Styela clava: one gene and its partner. The protein of the gene in region 1 interacts with the protein of each later gene in a pairwise test. Links are inferred from orthologs where the notes say so. Each region holds a gene or a part of one and is shown on either strand. Other genes may lie near its edges. The genes, in order: PAN2-PAN3 deadenylation complex catalytic subunit PAN2-like and PAN2-PAN3 deadenylation complex subunit pan3-like.

What was found.
Region 2: the proteins of PAN2-PAN3 deadenylation complex catalytic subunit PAN2-like (region 1) and PAN2-PAN3 deadenylation complex subunit pan3-like interact in binary tests that used the Drosophila melanogaster proteins (3 or more experiments, as listed by UniProt). The link is inferred for Styela clava from reciprocal best matches to the Drosophila melanogaster genes PAN2 and PAN3.

The regions. Positions count from the first base shown.
Region 1 is NC_135254.1:1,607,407-1,618,418, reverse strand, and holds the start of PAN2-PAN3 deadenylation complex catalytic subunit PAN2-like, read left to right. Parts: upstream 1-5,693; 5' UTR 5,694-7,364; exon of another isoform or gene 7,365-11,012. Other genes in the region: spermine synthase-like, read left to right, coding at 1,877-2,986. UniProt on the Drosophila melanogaster protein: Catalytic subunit of the poly(A)-nuclease (PAN) deadenylation complex, one of two cytoplasmic mRNA deadenylases involved in general and miRNA-mediated mRNA turnover.
Region 2 is NC_135262.1:19,580,682-19,591,629, forward strand, and holds the start of PAN2-PAN3 deadenylation complex subunit pan3-like, read right to left. Parts: upstream 5,143-10,948; 5' UTR 4,511-5,142; coding exon 4,471-4,510; intron 3,975-4,470; coding exon 3,850-3,974; intron 3,020-3,849; coding exon 2,914-3,019; intron 1-2,913. UniProt on the Drosophila melanogaster protein: Regulatory subunit of the poly(A)-nuclease (PAN) deadenylation complex, one of two cytoplasmic mRNA deadenylases involved in general and miRNA-mediated mRNA turnover.

The DNA of each region.
Region 1 (11,012 bases):
AAATAGGGTACCGGTAACGCATTGTAGGCCTAGTTCGTACCGGTACACCCGTGGCTATCGCTTAGCCTTGTAGGGTATGTATGTATGTTTATATATCTCGTAAAAAGCAATAAAATCGTAGATAGATTACGGTATCATTACTGATGACTGGATGTATGTACAAGACCATACTGGCCTAAAACACAAACGTGCGGCATGCACCCCGTTTAAAAAGTTTTGAATAGAAATAAATCGAATAGGTACATACCGGTATAATATGGTCCCTTATACAGACAATTGTGCAAGGAGAGTGGGTGAGTGTGGTGACAGGGGTAAGGGTGGAGTATACAAAACTGTTTGTACAAGGGAATTTGTAAGACAAGACAACATCCATAAATAAAACATAACACAACACGAAATAATCTGCATGTATAAATAATACTAAAATTTAGAATTTGTACATAAATACAACACCCTTGAGTGATGGTACCACATAATATAAATGTGGTATGGAATGCTCATGTTTAAATAAGTGTTAGTGTCTGATTTTTTATGTGTATACAGTAATAAATAAAGATTTTGTCAAAAAATTCAACACAGTGACGAGAACAAAAATCATTATGTTCACCCATGTGAGTGCCCTAGATATAAACCGTCCTTTTGTATGATTAGAGATACGGTACGGTAAGTTTATTTCGACTTCATAATCCTGTAATCAGCATAAAAGGCGATAAAACGATTGATAAGAACAAATAAACAAAAACTGATTATGAAATCAGGAGAGCAGACAAAACCTTGGATAAGGTTTAAAATAAACAGAATATAGGACAGTAGGATGGAAGGTATTGCCAAAAAGAAGTGGTACGCATTCACTCACATAACATTATTGAATCAATTTACTCACACACACAACCATAATCTGATAGGACCATAATAAAGTTAGAAAAAAGAGAAGCTTTAGATAAGTAAACAAACAAAAAAAATAAATAGGTAAAGAAGAAATTAGAATAAAGACTAAGAATTGTTTGCCACACCCTTTTAATAATTTTGTAAAAATTCCCAAATTGAATACAGATTTTGTAGATACAGAGATATGAGGGAACAGTATTTAATATAAAGACATTAAAAAAAAAATGCTTTGCCACCCTGATTATAGTTGGAGTCAAATGCCAAATTGCTTGAATATCAGATTGTTGAAAAGGGCTACACTAAATGTCTTGACGGGCCGGATTGTGGCCATATTTATAGTGGGGAAGAGGGAGGAACGAGTTATTACGCTGGGGGGGAATTGAAAAAACTCCAGATTTTGCAGCCAGGATATAACTTCAATATTTGCAGGAGGTAAGAAATTGAAGTAGGGCCCTGGTACTATTACTGTTTGGTATTAGGAGCACACTATACAGATCGAGCAACATTGTCTAGTTTTAGAGAATCCCATTTTACTGAGTAACAGACACCCCTTCTTTGGGAGACGTTTGGACATTGTTGTCCCTCAATATCGGTAATAATACAGTATAATGAAATTGCGCAAATGCTGCAAATAAACGCAATCTAATATTGTCATCATTGAATTCCTTGGGGAAAAAATAATCCGATTTACAAGAGGAAAAAAAATTTACCGTGGCATTCGAGAGTTAGCGATTAATTCGGGCACGATTAATTTAGATTATTATTGAGACAAGTATGGTACGATATGAAGCATTTGACGTGGTGCCAGACACCCCTTGTTTGTTAGACACATAGAGTGTTTGTTTTATTGAGCCCAATGGAGAGAAATTCTTGGAATTTGGATAGTGTGCCATGCTGTAAGAGGAAACTGTTTTATATTGTACATTTGCACATTCACAGCTAACATAGCTTAATAGTTTTCTATAAAAGTATCATATCGTATGACACCATGGATACTTGGCTAACGGAATATCATCTCAAACCTGAATGTTTGGAAAAAGACAAGGCCGCAGATCTAATAGATGAATTATCCACTCTAATCCGAAAAGTTTTGGGAATCGAAAGCGAGCTGGTCCACAAGTCATTCAATAATGGAATCATAGCTTTCTTCACTGCAAAATCTGGCGAGACTGTTTTACTCCGAGGAAACAAATCTGTAAACCTCTATCCTTTACTGACTATTGATATTAGTACTCCAAAAATTGATGACTCATGCTTCAAGGTGCAACTAAGCGAATTTAATGATAAAATCAAAAAAATGAGTTTTGTTGAAGAGTTGAAAACACCAGGCTTCTTACCATGGCCGAGTTTGAAACGAGGGAGATTGTTTTCGAAGTATGATTTGCTCACCGGTCTCTTAGTAGAGCGCGATTTTAAAGGTGTTCACTTCGATGATGTCTCTCCGTACCAGCATGTTCGTATTATGGACTCACCCCAATATGGAGGTTGTCTCTTTCTTGATAACGATCTGAATTTATCGGAAAGTGATCTGGAATACACTCGAGCTATCACTGGATATGATAAGGAAGATTACAAAGATAAGAATGTGTTGATCTTAGGAGGAGGGGACGGGGGAATACTTCATTATCTACGAGATCGCGGCCCATCTATGATAACAATGATTGATATCGACCAAATGGTTATTGACGCAGCGAAAATACATTTGCGAGGAATTTGCCACGATGCTCTTGACTCCCTCTCTGGTGAAAATTACGAAGTCATAGTAGACGATTGTGTAAAATATCTCAAAAAATATGTAGCAGAAAAGAAAAAGTTTGATTATATAATTAACGACCTAACTGCGATTCCAGTTAGCACCGAGCCAGTAGGCGATCACTGGGACTTCTTGCGTCTCATATTATCGATGTCAATGAAAGTTCTGAAAAATGATGGAAAATATTTCACTCAAGGGAACTCACTGCTGGCTCAAAATGCACTCGCAATGTACGAAACGCAGCTCGAGAAATTGGAGTGTCGCGTTAAATACACGAAGAAAGAGGTCTGTGTGCCGTCCTATTTAGAGCAATGGGTTTTCTACACTATATGGAAGGATTCATAGGATTCAAGATTGTTGAATTTTCGAGAAAATTAATTTGGAAATATCACTATGAAAAAAGTCCTCTCTAAAGCTGGTATCTGATCCTAGTTTGAAGCAATATTCATTCAAAGTAATTCAATAAAAAGTTTAGAGTAAGGAGTTAAGAATAGAAAATATTCATTGGTGCCATTTAGTGTTGTCTCTTAGTTAAATGCCCCTTTCTGTCTAATCTGACTTTAACAGGGGAGTTGGTTCTATTTTATAAAGTTTGTCTAATCGCGCTTTGGTGATTTTTAGTTGTGCCGGCACGCTTCAATAAAGTTATCAATTGTGTAAATCCTGTTTAGTCATATTCAAATGATTTTTAAGCGAAGTATTCCAAAAAGAAGCAACCGTTCACAATTTTTTTTGTTTTTTTTTCAAAATCATCTTTCTCCAGTTTTGCCTTTTTGGAGCAAACCCCCCTTGTAGTGGGAATTCTGTCTAATCCGACTACCTATGAGTTTTTAGTTAGGCTGTTATTCTTTGATAGAGGTAATCGATTCTGTGAATTCTGTCTAGTCATGTTTGAATGATTTTTATTAAAGATTGTCACACCTCATTAGATTATTCTGTGTAAATTCTGTCAAATCACGCTTCGATGGTTTAAGATTGTGTATAAATTTTGTCTAATCATGTTTTAATGATTTGAAAATTGTTTTAGTTCTATATAATTACGCTTCGATGGTTTATAGCAGGATTTCCCAAACTTTTCGGGCGGCAGACCGCTGTTAGTGAATATAATTTTGACGGGCCCTCATCCTATGTCATATCAAATTTTGTGCCTGACCAACGAGGAAGGATAATGTTTCCATTACCGAAATAAAACTCATCTAAGTTTTAACAAATACATACTAACTTTGAATACTGGCAGGTCAACGGCATGTTGATAAGATCATGATTTATTTGTATATGTTTCAGACTTATTTCATATCATCTCAAACCCCAGTTTCGGAAATCCTGGTTTATAGATTGTGTGAATTCCGTCCAGTAACGCTTCATTGGTTTATAGATTAGGTAAATTCTGTCTAATCATGCTTCAATGATTTACGGATTGTCTAAATTCTGTTTAGTAACGCTTCATTGGTTTACAGATTGTGGGAATTCTGTCTAATTATGCTACGATGATTTATAGATTGTGTAAATTCTGTCTAATCACGCTCCGATGGTTTATAGATTGTGTAAATTCTATCTAGTAACGCTTCATTGGTTTGTAGATTGTGTGAATTCTGTCTAATAACGCTTCAATGATTTATGAATTCTGTGAATTCTGCCAAGTTGCGCTTGAATGATTCAGGTCAAATAATGGTAAATGGAAGAGGTGCTATCAGTGGCGCAACCAGCGGGGGGGTTACGGGGGTCGTGTCCACCCCGTTTGAAATTCGTTTTTTTTTATTATCGTTCTACGTTCAAACAACGTCGTTCCACGGTCATAACAATCCGGTGAAAACTACTTTTTTCCAGTGCTTTATCACCTCGACGTAATTTAACACCGCCCGACTTCAATCATACCTTTTTGCTGTTAGTTACGTAACAATCGCTATCCCCGCGTATATGTTTGTATTCGAAAATGAGATATGTTACCTCAAAAAGGTAGAAATCGCGCGCTGTCGATGCGAATTGAAAGCGACAATAGCATAATGCTATCTCTTTCTCTCTTGTGACGAATACTCTCGTGCTTCATCATCTTGACGCAATGTATCGCCGCCCGTCTTCATGTTATAATAATGCAGTAGAAACTCTCAAAATCTGGATACGAAAATTATTTTCGGAAAAATATTGATTTTTATCGCAGCCATGTGTGGTACGGCAATAACTAACAGTCGTCGTGAAAGGTTTTCAATAAACTCCGACTTGAAGTGCTTATAAGACGTCGAGGACGTTTTTGGTTGAAAATTTTTTACATTTGTTATCGTATATTTCAATTTAGTCAAGATATGTTGTGCGCCTCGGCAATAAACTTAAAAGCAAATCCTGCCCTAATTAATTGTTTTCATCCTCAGTTTCGATAGTTATCGAACTTACCGGGAAATTTTTTAATTTCTTGCACTCTATAAAATAGCTTCTAAATATTATTTGGTTTCTATCGGAGATTTTATCGTTATCCCGGCGTCGTTAATAACAATATCGTTCATTTTAAGTTGGAGGTATTGGTTTATAATCGAAAAATTATAACACATAACATGAAAAATTTAAATCAACGCCGACTCAAAAAGTAAAACACGTTTCTCCATCTTTATTCTCCATTATTGGCGGACGGAAATTTGGGAATCGGGTTTAACTAATTTGATTATGATGACGATGGTAAACAAAAGTACACAAACATACCATACCGTTCTTAGTTTTTAGTCGTTATTTCTCTGTCCTTTCTTCTTTCTATGTGCATATTAAGACCATAAAACGTGTTTTATTTTTGAACTCTGCGCTGATTTGAATATTTCATGTCGGCTGTTATGTATTTTTGTTTGTAAATGAATACCGCTAACTTAAACTGAACGATGTTGTCATCAACGCCGGATGCCGTCGAAATCTGCGATAGATATTAAATACTATTTAAGAGCTATTTTATATGCGCTACATTACAAGTAATGAAAAAATTTCCTGTTATGTTCGGTCACTATCGAAACTGAGAATGAAAACAACTAATTAAGACACAATTTGCCGAGGACGCCTGAACCATCTCGACTAAGTTAAAATACACGATAAGAAAATATTTTCAATCAAAAACGTCCTTGAAGTCTTATAAGTTCTTCAAGTCGGCGTTTATCGAAATTCTTTCATGTCAGCTGTAATATATTGCCGAACCACACATGGACGACGCTAGGATATGTGCGCCATATTCGGGATTATTATAAACACGAAAAAACAGTATTTGAAGTTTGCGATATTTGAATTTAAATTCGATTTGGACATCCCTGCATTAAATTAGTCATTTTTTAGTTGTGTTTCCAAAAATTAGTTGTAAATCAATTATTTTAATTGTCATCATGTCTTCCGGTGAGCTTCAGTTTAGTTTAGAACTTTTCTGGGGTTAGGGTCGGGAAAAGGTCCATTCGCAAGAAGTGCATTTTGTTTTTAGTCTTGACGAATTCACCCAACGAGCAAGGCCGGCACTAGGGAAACACTGGAATTTATTCAAGCCGTGTTTCACTATCCACGAGGCGCAAAGCGAGGGAAATGTTGAAAATAATTAACAGCTTTTCGTTAGCAATTCGCTGGAATGTAATGAACGGTGTTTGCTACCCACGAGGTGCAAGACATAGCGAAGCGTCGTTAATGAACGAGTGCAAGGTAAGCTGAAGGCTGGGATTTAATCGATGGCGTTTCCATTTTAACCACGAGCAATTTATCGCGTTTCAGCGGGGCGACACCTAGAGGCGTTGCGACTTACGTCGTGGTTGCACTGTGTAAATTCCTGTCGGACCCCCCCCCCGTTGAAAACGGTCTGGTTGCGCCACTGGGTGCTATTTTAAAATTTATATATAGGCTTGCCTATTCTGATGTTGATTGAAAATTATGATTTAAGTTTAATTTTATTTATTAAAAAGAAAAATTCCATATTCAAGTTCAAATAATAAAAGTAACTCTTTACATATTGTCAGATTTCAATCAGGCCTCATCACATTTTTAGAATAAAGCGCAATCATAGCGATTTTTCTTGTGAATCATAACTTATATTTTGGCAGAATATACTCATTTGAATTATGTGGAACTTATGCTGCAAGTCATTCTTCATTTTTTCAAATATGATTAAATGCAATCATCTCGTTTTCAACTAAAATTATCATAACATATATTTTGGCAGAATATGCTCATTTGAAATATGTGGAACTAATGCTGCAAGTCATGCTTCATTGTTTTTATGCTCATAACCAAATCCCTCTGTTATGTTGCCACTTTATTCTTCGGGGTGGCTGTAATGGGGTCGGAATTGAACTAGGAACCCAAACTCATAATTGTTTAAAAGCAGGGCTGTGCAGCCCGCGGGCCAAATGCGACCCACAAGGAAAAATTATGAGGCCCACAGAGAAGTGCCAATTTTAAATAGTGTTTGGCCCACGAAACGAGTTTTCAATTTAGTCCTATCTAGTATGTGCAGGTAATTCCTATTCCTTTGCATTGCAAAACTTATACCTGAGCTTATGCAGAGCTAACAACACGTGTCATAAAATCAGTAACCAAAGTTTTGTGCTTGCAACTACTAGAAAGCCTATGTTGAATAAACGTGCGGCCCGCGATTTCACTCAGATATTCCTACCTTGCCCTCTTGTATTAAAGGTTGCACATCCCTGGTTTAAAATCATTAGAAATATTTTCAGTTATTACTAATCGATCTTAAGATCGGTAAGTATGTTGATAGGTTTTTGTCTGTTTGTATGTCTGTGTGTTAGATGCACGCGATATCTCACGAAAGCGAGTTTGAATCTGCTCCAAATTTTGAATGTGCATTCATCATAGCTCGGATCAGGATTATGTCTTATAATTAGCGAGTTATTGATTAATTAGTGATGGGACACACGGTGTCACTATGGAGTAAGACCACTGTTTTGAGGGATCCCCTAACCTTCGATCGATAAGTCTTCTTCTTTTAACCGATATTCTAGTTTTTTAAATTCATTACCATGTGCAGATGAAGCTTCAAATACTATGCAGTTCATGCATTCTATACTTTCTAATTTGGGTGCTATCTCGTTAGGGCCCAGCATCTAATTTCCGACCTTTTTAGTTTATCTTAAATTTATGGCAGTTCAAACAGGTACCCTAAGCCGAGAGGTCTACGGGACAGTTCTTTCTGGTTCACAAGCAATGTCTTCCGTTATTGAAAATTTGTGATTAATTTTAATGATTAATTTAAAAAGAATGGATCATGTCTTTTCAAACTATTTGCTATGCATGAAAACCCATATTTACCGGCTTCTCTGAAAATTTTCGAACCCCCCCCCCCCCCTCTAAAAATATCTTGCTATGCCCCTGGGTTATGGCAATAGCAGGGTAGCACCCAACCAACATGATGTTTTTATTTGGCATCCAGTTTTTGCTTTTACCTTTTCAATTACTGTAAAATTCATTGTAGTACTCAATAACGTTTTTGTACATTACTGTGTTTTGTTCTCGTAGTTCCAAATATCTGTCAACTTTAGTTCCGAATTCAGTTTTCAATTTTGCAGTTTTGTCAACTTTTTTCAACTATTAGACCATGGAATAAGAAATGGAGTTGTATCTTCAAACTCTCAGAAAATAATTAGTGATAATCGCGTTCAGAATACCCAAATAGTTTGGGTACTCCAGCGTAGCGAGGAGGGGTAGGGGGAGGTCCGACATGTACAAAAGTTTAATTTGCTTTTCAATCATTTACGACTTTAGGTCAAATTCAAATTTTCCTGATCAATTGTGAATTTTCCTATAGTCCACAGGCATGAGAATACATGAACAAATATATATTCCTTGTCTCCCCTAAAAAAAGACCCAGTCTGGATTTTAAAATGATTTTAAAGTAAGCCCATCCCTTAAAAATAAGACCTAGTTGATAGTGCAAAAATAAAAACGTGTAATTTTGAAGTAAATTAATATCGATTGTCATATTTATGTATATTTGAAAATCTCATAATTCTCTACTTTGAATTTTTGTTTCTGATAAATTAAAAAAAAGACATCGCCCTAAATAAGCCCTAGCGTTATTTTTTGAAAGAAAATAGAAATAAGACCCGGTCTCATTTTTGGGGAAACTCTGTATTTATTCAGAGTAGATTTAAAATTATTTAATTTTAGCCATTTCTGCCAAACACTGTTCCTATTTCGTCATCTTTTTTTAAAACTAGCTGAAAATATTTTATGTTCTACAAGTGCTTACAATTTTTACAACTGATATTTTCTGGTGGATTTTCCCATAGTCCACGGGCCTGAGAATATTTGAATATGAACAAATATTCGAAATAGATTCAATTTTAGCCGTTCCTGCCCAACACAGTTCCTATTTTGTCAACATATTTTAAACGAGGTGAAAATAATTTTTAGTTCTGCCAGGTATATTGTTACTAGAATACTCAAATTTTGCCTATTTTGCAATTTTTATCATCATGCTGATTCTAAATAATTTCTCATTTTAATTTATTACAGGTTGTTTAATTTAAGATAGTATTTGGACTTATTTTAACCATTCAAAATTCAATTCTGTCGGAACAAAAATACATGGATATTCCCATCAATCTTTGGTACTACGGAATCATTAACCAACATTTGAATGGAACAAGTTTCTGCTACATTTCCTTGACAGTGCTGACTTGAAATGTCACAGGGATATATCTGTATCTAACTGATAAGAGTATCATTGGCTACTTGCAACTCTTCTATCAGGACTCTTTCCACATAGACTTGAGGACTTGGAATCTTGCTTTGAGCGAACTTGCAACTCTTTTATCAGTACTCTTTCCAGTAGTTGAGGGCCCGGGACCTTGCTTTGAGCAAACTTGTGACAGCTCTTCGCACTTCAATGACTGTTTGTAACTCCTCTATCGTCATCTTTTTGGATTGAGGAATTTGAATCTTCAAGCTAACTTGCTTTGAGCATATTTATATTTTTAGCTGTTTGGACATCACTAACTGCTTACAGTGCTTGAAGGCTTATGACCCTGCTTTAGGCAAACTTATACCAGAACCCACTTCTGGTTGAGTGTCTATGTTTTGAGCAAACTTGCGCAGCTTTTAGCATGCCTTAGCAGTACTTTTCCCCAATTTTGAAGCAAATTTTAAACCATTGAAGGATTTTTATTGGACTTTGATTTGGTTGCTATGGATACGTGGCTACTTGAATTACGACTCAAATCTTGGTCTTTAGAGAAAGATAAAGCGGAAGAAATCATCAAAAATGTATCGGATTTGATTAAAAATTATTTGTGCAGTGATTGCAATCTCATGTACAAGTCATTTAATGTTGGATTTTTAGCCCTTTTCACTTCGAAATCTGGCATCAGTGTTTTAGTACGGGGCTTCGAATTTGATGGCGTGCTTCTGACTCTTGATATCAGCACACCTGGTGTCACTAACGGAGCTTTTAAAGCAAAAGTTTCAAAATTTGAGAAAATTATTCAGTTGTTAAGTTTCGTGGAACCACCGAGAACGAGATATTTCCCTTCCCTCCCGAGTTTGAAACGTGGGCGTCCATTTTCTACGTATGATTGCGAGGACGGTTGGTTATTTGAGTTTGATTTTGACTCCGTAGTTTTTGACGAGGTCTCGCCGTATCAACATATTAGAATTATGAATTCGAAACAATATGGAAAATGTCTTTTCCTCGATAATAATTTGAATTTATCAGAAAGTGATCTCGAATACACTCGAGCTATCACTGGATATGATAAGGAAGATTACAAAGATAAGACTGTATTGATCTTAGGAGGAGGGGACGGGGGAATACTTCATTATCTACGAGATCGCGGCCCTTCTATGATAACAGTGATTGACATTGATCAAATGGTTATTGATGCAGCGAAAATACATTTGCGAGGAATTTGCCATGATGCTCTTGACTCCCTCAGTGGTGAAAATTACGAAATTATCATAAGCGATTGTGTCGTGTACCTTAAAAAATATGCATCAGAAAAGAAAAAATTCGACTACGTCATCAACGACCTTACTGATATTCCGATAGACGTGAACCAGTCTGAGGATCAGATAGCATTTTCTCGACAAATTTTGTCTCTGTCTATGCAAGTCTTAAAAAATGACGGGAAATACTTTTCTCACGGGATAGCACTGCCTTCATCTGTCGCTGTTGTGGAGAAGCAATTTCAAGATCTGGAATGTCACGTGAAATACACGAAACAAGCTGTATGTGTACCGTCATTCTTCGAGTTCTGGATGTTCTACACTGTTTGGAAAGACATCTGAAGATTTTAGATAACATGTTTTCCGGCTAACAAACTGTTGCCAAGTTTAACACTAAAAATGTGAGTTTTCTGAATTACTGCCCAATAAGCCAATGCAGAACAATTTTGTTTTTCTCTGTTTA
Region 2 (10,948 bases), on another chromosome or scaffold:
TCACACTAAAATAATGGAAACAAAGGTAATTTTCCCAAAGTTATAATAATGATTTTCGTACATCTCATTCATTCCTACAGCCTGATGACCTGCACCAAAATACTTCGGTAAAATTCATCCCCGATTCCTCATCCCACCACGGCCTCCAGTCCGATCACCAGTCTATAGAATTAATCAGCTATTTGTTTTTGGACTCATGGACTCTGATGTGGAAAAAGCTGTGACCGACTATCGACTGCGGCCCAGGGGTCGGCAAATTTTATGTCGCTCGTGAGACAAAATTTAGGGTTGCTAGTCTTTTGCGGGTCGCATATATTGTTTAAAAGTTGAAAACGGAACAGCGCGCGAAAACTGCGACAATTCGTGAACTCAACTTAGTCGTCTTATTAAAAAATCATTACAATGACATTTAATGTGACACTGTCTTGTTGCTGCATCCCGCTTGATAGCTTTACGACGCCAAGATTGGAACGTTTTCTAAATAGGCATCACTAATCCCAGTTCTTTAATTGTTCTTTGTAATGTCCATTTTCGAAAATAATTGTTAACACAAATATGTACTTCCAAACATTAAGTGAATATTCTTGCATGGTTTGTGAAATTTTGATAAAGATTTTCTTTAATAAGATACATTCTTACAAAAATTACGCAGTAATGAATCTCTCGAAAAGAATATGAATTTTTTTTTCTTTATTGCATTGCAATATATTCGAATATTAACTGCGCTATTGAACCCCTGCCCTCAGCATCAACTTTTTTTCTTTGTGTTTCCATTTGTCTAATTATAAATAAATTGTAGGCTCGTTAAACGAGTAGCTAACTGTTCAATAGAATTTTAGGGATATAATAAAATTTAGTCTAAACGTGTCTCACGAAAAATTCTGTTACGTAAAAAAATGTAATTTACTCCTCGAGCATAGATTATAAATAAAATAAATTCATCGTCAAAACCGCCGTTTAGATGTTTACCCGGGCATAGACTTCCTTGTTTACTTCGTGACATTGGCCAATCAGCAAGATGCAAAAATAAACGTAACAATGCCCCCTTTCGCATCCGCTCAGACACACTCACTCGGACAGATTTCCAGGCGTGGTCGTGAACATTACCTCATTTTTGCGTTTTTGAATTATATTCGTTAGTTTTTAGTTATTTTTCCGAAATTTAAATATAAATCATATAAGTCAATGATTACTTTGTCTTTCTATGAGTTTCAGTTTAAATACAGTAATCAAAAATTAGTGTAGAAATAGCTGTAATAGACTAGGCTAAAACTCTTTTTCGGTACTTTTAAAAAACAGATTGTTGAATGGTATGAATTAGAATGATAGTTTGAAACAAATACCCCATTTGACAGACAACAACTCACAAAACCACTCTTGAAATAAGCACCGAAAATTATAAAATGGTAAAGTATAGGAAGAATTTTCGAGGTCAAAGGTCGGAGATAGGTCCATTCAGTGAATCGTCCCGGGCCAGATTATTTTACTCCGGCCGTATTTTGCCGCCACTGGAATACACAAACTACCGTACCTTACTGCGAAGACGAGTCCAGCAATCCTTTCACGTGTGATAATCGACCACGTGATTTAATCCTGCAAAGCACACAGAGTACAGAATTATGCGCACGATGCGCCGAGCAAAAACAGGTTTCGCGAAATCGCCCCCTTCAACTTTTTGGCCCTCTCTGTATCGTTTTCGCCCACCGGGGGGCGATATCGCCCACTCTGGGAATCACTGGTCTATACTATATAGCCTGTGCTCTGGCAGGCTAGTGTGATCACAAAATATGTAAAACTGATATCTTAAGATTAATAAGAAGTTTTAGGCTCCAAAAAGCTTCAAAATGAAATGATTAGCAAGATTCTAACAGCAACCAGTGCAGCTAACAACAGTCTCTCTAAAGCAGTGGTCAGCTATGTTCATATACCTACGGGCCAAATATCAACTTTTTCGTTAGCGAGCAGGCCGCAATATTTCCGCCTTCGAACAATCTCCACATTGAACTTCAAATTATCGCGCATTTGCACCTTCTATTGCTGCGTTAAAAGTTTGCCACAATGAGACGTGTATGTGGTCTTTTTTATATGTTATCCAACAATGCATTCTTTTTATTTACTTATTATCAATGTGAATGATGTTTTAATGGCAACTTGCCCACGGTACGTCGTCCAAATGACGATCTGACAAGCGATTACAAAATTTAATCCAATTGTATTGCATTTTAGATAAAGCTGCTCACAGTAATATGAGCTTCCGAACATGCTTCCAACATGATTACGATACATGTTTTGCACTGTCGCAGAGATGAGATGTGGCACAGTTCTGGATCTCGGGGTCGAATTTTCAGAGACACGTTTTGTAACATTGAATCCCTCAATATCTGCGATGCTGGGCATATCGAGCAAACTGGTTTGGAAATGCTCAAGAAAAATATTTTCGTTCCAAGCACTTTGGAATGTTTGACCCTCGTCCCGAATTCCCCACCGTTTCTCAGACATTTTAAAATTTTTGAAAATCAACATTAACTCGAACGACATACAACTGTCGCTACTTATTATAAAACAAGCGTTCTACAGCAGACTTGTTACCACATAAATCCGTGTAGAGACAAAAATTTTAGGATAAACTTTTGTTTTATGTATTGTCGGGTCGTTCGAGGGCCGCAACAAATTACTTTGCGGGCCGCATTTGGCCCGCAGGCTGCAGTTTGCCGATCCTAGCCCTAAAGTATGAAACTAGTTTTGCATACAACCTCATTCTTTCATGCCCAGCAGAGCAAACCCAAATCACAGAAAATTAAAAAACAAAACTGCAGGTCCAAATTACTACTCATCTAGCTGTCTAGTGTTACAATGGATAAATATAAAAGCAATTATAATGGAAGACCTATTGAACAATGAAAATAGAGCTACCCATCAATGGCATGAATTCTTTTGCTTCCACACACAGGCCTGCATCAACTTCAGGTGGTCTTTCAAATGAAGCATAACTCCTAATATCAGGGCCAGCTTCATGGCTCTAGAATGATACAACACATAAAAAAATTGTACCCATATCCGAAGTATAAATTTATCATTTAGTTATTACTATTAGACAACAATCAAAAAGCAAGAATACTTCTCCCAAGGAGTACTTGTCAATTTTCCGAACGCACATTTTTGGGCGCATGTTCACTAAACGACGTAAGTACTTCTATTTGGCGTGGCACAACTATTTATGCTTATGTCATTCCTAACCTCCACCTGGCTCAGTGATCTAAAAATTACGTCAGTACGACCTCACAATCACGTCAAAAAGCTTGCCAAAGGATACCTTCGATCGCCCGGAATGGCATCTTCGCCAACGATAACGAACTCACTAATGCTAGTGATCTCTCTCATATCAGGATCATTATGCCGAGAAAAATAGCTTGCTCAATTTCGGGTGATCGCCTGCGCGTCTTGGATGACAGATAGTATAGTTTGGAAGGCCTTATTATGTTACTGTGACGTTGTAGTGACATAATTTTTTAATGACAAAGTCAGGTTGGGATTAACATATGCAAAAATTGTTATGTCGCGCTAACTAGAGGTACTTATGTCGTGTTGTGAACTTGGCCCCATTTTTGTTTGGGATCATTGCGAAAGCAATTTTAGGTAGATTAGAAAAGCAATATTAGGTAGATTAGAAAAGCAATATTAGGTACATTCGAAAATCTCTAACTTTAGTCATATTGCAGTATTGCTGTACAATAACTCTAAAGGAAATTCCCAAAGTTTTAGAGTAAATTTGTATTTTTTCAGTTAGTTGAATAGAACTAATATACTGACATACAGTATGATATAAATAAAAAAATAAAAGACTTGTACTTGAGAAGAATTTTCAAATATATTCCTCGACTTGTTTGTCATGCTATTGCTCCTCATCAACTGCTGAAATTTTGATTCCTTTGCCATTCCAAAAGATGGTAGATCGCCAACGAGGGCATTGTTAACTGAAATCAAAATTAAGCATAAAAAAAGTTAGGATATTCATTAATTGAAGCACAAGAGGTTTTAAACAATACCAATATGTAAAAATGATTGTCAAAAAGAATATTTTATTGCAGTATTATATCGAAGTTTTGTTTTGTGCAAGAGCCGTGCACATTCTCACGAAGGATATAATCTCAGATTGGGATTCAAATTTCCATACTAATTATGGTTTCAATGTTTCTTAATGCTGGTATTGATTTCCACCATGTTGGTGTTAGAAAAGAACATGCAGTGTTTGTCCAAACTCAAATTCACTGTATAAGTAGGCTATATGTTTATTTCGACTTCATACAGTCATAATCAGCATAACAATAAAATGATTGATAAACACAAATAAATAATAACAGATTATAAAATCAGGAGAGCAAACAAAACCTTAGATAAGGTTTAAAACATACAGAATGTACTTTGGCCATTGTGATACATAATACTGTCATAATAAAGGAATTATCTTACTATGATCGAAAAGTGATGGATCTTGTCCATTCCCGTCCATATTCCGGATCACCAGCTTAAAACAGCATTAGTTTTTCACAGTACCAGCAGGTCAGTCATTAATACCAGAATACCGTAATATTGTATCAGCGTGCGTATCCTTCTTCTGTATATTACCAGTTGACAGGTTGATTGTATGGCTAGTCAAATCTAGGGAAGTGATGATTGTCCCCAGACTGTATGGAAACGACTATTTTATCATGGTTCACTCTGAAATAATCTACGTTACCGGCACGGTGTTTTTGATTTTTGAATAATATTGGTCTTGCGGCAATTCAATCTGTCAATGGCGGTAATTTATGAGAAGTTGAACAATTAATTCTTTATCGAAAATAACACATAGAAACCGGTGTGTGTAATTGATATATCCCCTTCACGCATTTATGTTTGATCAAAAATTGACGAACCTTTTCGCCGATGCACAACGAACATGCACGCGATCGCACCAATTTCCCTGCGTGGAATTGTCTGAAATCAAGTTATTTCGGATAGACTCGAGACATTGGGCACTGCGTCTTAATGGCTTACGTAAAATGCGAAATGACAACGAAAAGAGGAGGATATTGAGGAGATTGACAAAACAATCGATATCATTTATTTGCGTTATGAATTGTTGCTTTGATGAATTGCCGGCGGTGTGGCGCGTCGTGCTAAGCGTTAGGAATACACTCGCCACCGCATCGCTGATCACTCCGCGTGGGTTCGCGGGTTCGAATCCACTGGAGGAATTATGTGCGAGGGGATCGTTGGACTCCTCGTCGCCACAGGGTGGTTCACGTAACCGCTGGTCGGTTACGGCTTCCATCACTATCAAGTCGATGCATCTGAAACAATAAGTGGCTAACTAGTCCAATACCTGACATGGACTGGTAACCGGATGAGGCAGTGGTTCTGACATATGATTAAGCCGCCTTAGCGGTTAGAGCAATAAACTGCAGAATTACACACTTTCTGAGATCAAAAGGGCATTGTTGTTAAAAACGGGGACCATCAACTATCAGTGAAACAAGCAAGATTTCAAAACCGATCTTAAGATCGATAAGTAATGATCTATCTGTTCATTTCTGGCAACATCTTGTCTCTTTTGGAGAGGCATTTGCAGACTGTTTTAGGGGTTATACGAGAATCAGATGCTACTTTGCATTTTGTTAGTTTCTCGCCTACAATGCCGTTGAAAAAACAAAATCTTTCAGATTTGAAATAAAAACCTAGAAATCTGAAAAAACAATGGGGCAGTGTAAAAGTGCCCTAATGTGGTTGAAAGCTGATCAAAAAATATAACACTATCAGAATGGAATTTCCTCCAAACTCTTTGGAACCGTAAAATAATTTGCCGCAACATCCTAAACGTTTTTGTTAATGCATATACGTGTTTTCGTACTCTAATTTCATAAAATCGAGTATATATCATAAAAAGTTCCTGATAGAAGTGCTGCATAAATAAAGCCCAAAACTACACCAAGAGAAGATTATAAAATTTGCTTTGGAAGTTTCTTATAGATATAAACATTGATTGTATATATGTGACCCACTCTCTTCTGTTCCGCGATAAAAATATAATTTTTGACCCATTCATTAAAAAAGGTTTGCCATCCCTGTGCTAGTGATATATTGGAGTATATATAATGGCGACCGAAGTATCAGTTGATATCTTTAGTGTTGGGACTAATGGTACGATTAATAAGGTCTTTGATTTGTCTGCATCCAGTTTGCATGTCATCTAATGTATATACAAATTTCTATGTACTTTTTTATTTGGATAAGTTACTATGCGATGAATGAAACGAAACATAGGCCTTCGGTTATAGAATAGGAAGAGGCCCTCGAAAGTCTCAATCTGGCGATTTCTGTCTAGCTCAATTTGATTCTACATGAATGTTTTTTTACCATATATACTTAACTTGTGAGCTATTTTCAGTGCACATTATTTCAGCTTTAGAAAAAAGATATGAAATATAAACATGAGAAATTGATGTTTGTGATTCAGATGTATTATTGGCGTGCCTCGAGACCCACATCTTACGGTCTATTGAAATACTCAGATTAATGCATTGGACCGACCCAAGAATCTCTTCGGCGTTCGCTTAGAAAACCCAGTTTGGTTATCAGCATGTAAAATAAATGTTTAGTTATCTTATCAAACTAATACAAAATAATTTCAACATTCGTATACTATCCTATCTTTTAATTTAAAACATTCTCAATCAGATCAGAAAGCTGAATATATCTGTCTTTATTTAACAGATCCTGGAAAATAGTCGATACATCTCTAGTGGGAAGCATATATTGAAGTGGTAGATAATCTGCTTTGGGTTATGAATAACACAATTATTATTCTTTGTTGCCACGAATCGTATTTATATATACGAATAATACAAATAAAAAATGAATATCATCTATTATTGGAGAACCTCACCCCTCGCGGCTAGAACTATTCTATCAATAAAACATATTCAGGCTATCAGTCGCTATGTGCGTAGGGACTTGTTCGAAAAGAATTGTTTAAAAACAATTGTTTCAAATCATGTTTTTTTTTGCCTGTTTTGTTCAAAATGGCTGTACTGTTTGATTTTTTTGTACTAAATAGATTAAAGATAAAGGACGTAAAAACTTGCCAAGCGCTTCTTATTTGCAATAAATCTTTCAAAACGCCACAAATATCGATAGAGACTCATGCACACCTTCTCAAGCTGTAGTTCAGTGGTTGGCGCAGTAAGACGCAACCGGTAAGCCATTACGTGAACGACTCTGCTGCGATGAAACCACCTTGCGAAAATTAAAATGCGATCTAATAAATGAGTTTGTATAATCTTGAAAACTCACTACAACCCTAAAAACAAAGTATGTTAAGCATAAATTAACCGAATAGTATTAACCGTAACAATGACTTCATTTTATGAGAAAAATGTCAATACATGACCTCGAAATCCATATTATGGCGTCATAACAGATTAGTTGTGGCGTCTTTGCATCAGAGAACTCTTACAATTAACATTGGCCAGGTTAGGGTGCACTTGATTGAATTGCTGTTGTAGTAGGCTCGTGAGCTAATTTTCATGATTTTTCTTACTCAAAACGTCTCTCTGATATCTCGGCTAAACACTCCGGGTAAAATCTTATGACTTTGTTAGAGATATAAAATGGCGATAAATGTACGCAATAGTGGTAAAAGTCAAAATAAAACATTTCACTTACATTTTTGAAATTATAACTCCGGCTGCGTGTGCAGCTGCCAGAATGCAACGTTTTGGCATAGCTTCGCGGCGATGCAAGGGGTATTTCAATAAAAAAAATTGATTTAAAACAAGCCCTTGTTTTAAAAACACGATGTTTTTTTAGAATTGATAAAAAACAAAACCCTATATGTGCGCGCCGGAAACTAACAGAATTGTGTTAAACACGACTAATATAGGATTGAATATTTTACAATTTGCATCTGTTATAAATGTTTTATTTATTTTTTTTTCATTTTTAAATGCTGTGAATAAGAATCAATAAATTCCTTTCACCTTTCTATGCCGTTTACTTTTCTGTTACGCGTTACTTACTACAATTTCGTGAGCTGCAGTTTATTTATCTGCTGTGCTGAACCGAATTTAGCGAACAAGAGCGATTTTTTTCAGTATTTCAAAGGAAGATCAGACAGAGAGGAAGATTTGAGTGGTGCCTTTATTCTCTAGGGCCTAGGCCTTCATGTTTACAAACTTTGAAAGACAAAGTACACATTACCGATCACAAACTTGAGTCGAAATTTAACGATCACAAAATTGAGGCAGAATTTTTTTTATTGTGTAAGTGCGCCGTGAGTGTTTTCCCTGATGATTTGGCGCATACCAACACAAAGTTCGGGAACCTATGCTGTAAAGCAAGAGATCAATTCTTTAAATAAAACGATGAATATAACCAGTTTTGCAATCTGTAACCAATGAAATTTGGCATTAGTTTAGAAGATGAAATGTTATTCTCACTTTGTTTTTTATGGGCCATAATTTGATTGCAAACCAAACTACATCGTATATGATGTTCATCAAATTATTGGATTAAAAAAAATTTACTTTAATTTTAGAATAAACAAATTGGACGATAATTTTTTAATTTAGATTTAAATCCTATCTACGAAGTGTAGAAAAACTAGCCATTCTGCTACCGTGTTTCCCCGAAATAAGACCTAGCCTAAAAATAAGATCCAGCAGTCGATAATGCGAAATCTCTCCTACACGTTTTAAATGATTAATCTAGTGAATTGCAAGACATTCCAGAGGATGATGATTGATGATATGTTCATTTTCGAATAATGTATGTTTTTAATTGTTTATTTTTTTTTTTGAATAAAAACGTCTTATTAATAAGTAAATGGATATCGGTTTTCATATTTTGTATATTTGAAAATTTCGTAATTGTCTACTTCGTAATCTATTTTTGATGAATGAAAATAAAAAACATCCCCTCAAAATAGTCCCTTGTGTTATTTTTCGAAAGAAAATTGAAATAAAACACCCATCCTATTTTCGAGGGAACACGGTGGATGTTGCAAATCTAAAGTTGAATAAGACCAAAAAATAACTAAAATGATGATAGTTTTACTTTTCTTGTGCATCGAAACATTGATATGATAAGATTGAAGTAATTTCATAAAGCATTCGACGGATGATGTTTTTTTTTTATGTCATGTTGGGTAGGCCTATTCGACCCACGACCATTTTGATTGTCTTGTCATATTAATTTAATTGTGCACGTGGTATCTCCCTGATATCGGTTTTCAAGATATCGCTGCGAGAAAGATCCGAAAACCTACGAGAAAATCCCAGACTGTATAATTAATTGGACATACTTTACATTGATCAGCAGCCGGGATTAAAAATACATATTTATCGCGTGTAAATCTCCTCGGAATGGATTTTGAGACAGTTGCCGTGAGTACGCGACTTGCGACTTTTCATTGGGTAATGATTTTTCAGTTGCGCGAAGTATTCAATTGACGGGCAACACGAGTCTATTTATATTGCTTTGCTTTATCAGATCGTGTGTTTAATGTGACCACGTCGACAAAATAAGAAATTTACTTTGAATATATCACGGCAATCCCCGGCCACAAGAAAACTTGTCAAACTGCCCCATTTTATCTAGTTTCGATTCGTATTTTTGCGATGTTACGAATTATACAAATTTAATCTGCTATTGGAACACTGACTCAGTTCTATCACAATGATATCACCAAAGATTATTTTCAAAATATCAACGTTAGAAAAATCCCTAGATATGCGATAGTATTCTAAAGACTACAATTTATTTTAGTACAATAATAATTGATTGTACCATGATACACCGGTAGTCGACCAAAAATTCGATCTCGAACAGTCGAGTGGTGGTTAAGACTGGCAGACGAAAATCTTAGTATGCAGTTGAGTTTCCAAATCGTCAGTTCGTCCTAATATTAAGCGCTTAGTAAAGCAAAAAAGTTTCCAAAAATCTCACTAAAAAAAAATCAATTATTCCTTTCCCATTTTATGCTGCAATATATCATTAAATAACCTAAGCTTTATGGATGAAGTTGTTCGTTCTTGTTGATGAAAATTAACAGGTATCATAGTATGATTTGTGCTTACTCAGCGGTGACTGATAAAATTTAGCTTAGCGAATGGGTTCGTCACCCCTGTTATAGAGGATGAAATGTTATTCCTACTATGTTTTTTATGGGTCAAAATTTGATTGCAAACTACATTGTATATGATGTTCATCAAAATATTGAATCACAAATTTTACTTTCATATTAGGATGAACAAATGCAAAGTAAATAATGATTTTTTAATTCAGATTTAAACTCTATCCACAAAGTGCAAAAAAATAGCCATTCTGCTACGTGTTTCCCCGAAAATAAGACCTAGCCTAAATTTTAGAAATGATTTTAATATAAGGCGCTCCAGAAATGTGTGTACCACTAGTTTTGTTGGCCTACTTTACATCGAGTTGTGTGAAGGGACTGAAACCTATGGGCTGTTGGTATATTCATTTGGCTAACACAGACAGTCCCCGAACTGTTGGTAATAGAAATACAATAACGAAAATCGGAACGAAATCATGATCTAACCATAACCTGGTACACGCACCACGGGAGTACCGATTTCACTGTCTAGAATCGGCGTTCAAACGGCAACGTGACGCCTATGTTTTGACAAAATGTGACCACGCTTGTTCAGCGATTAGAGCGCATACATATGTTGGTATCACAGGTTAAGGATTCCTGTGCCTCATTGGGTGAGCAGTGTAAAACAGGGAAGAGGTTTTAGGTTTCTAATCTTTAAAGAATTCGCTTTATGAAATTAACAAATAATTTCATTATTGAATGAACAAGTGAGTACAAGACTAGATTACCTAGTACACAATATAAAAAAAATGAAATGAAAAATGATATGATTGAAATTTAAAAAAGTGTCATATC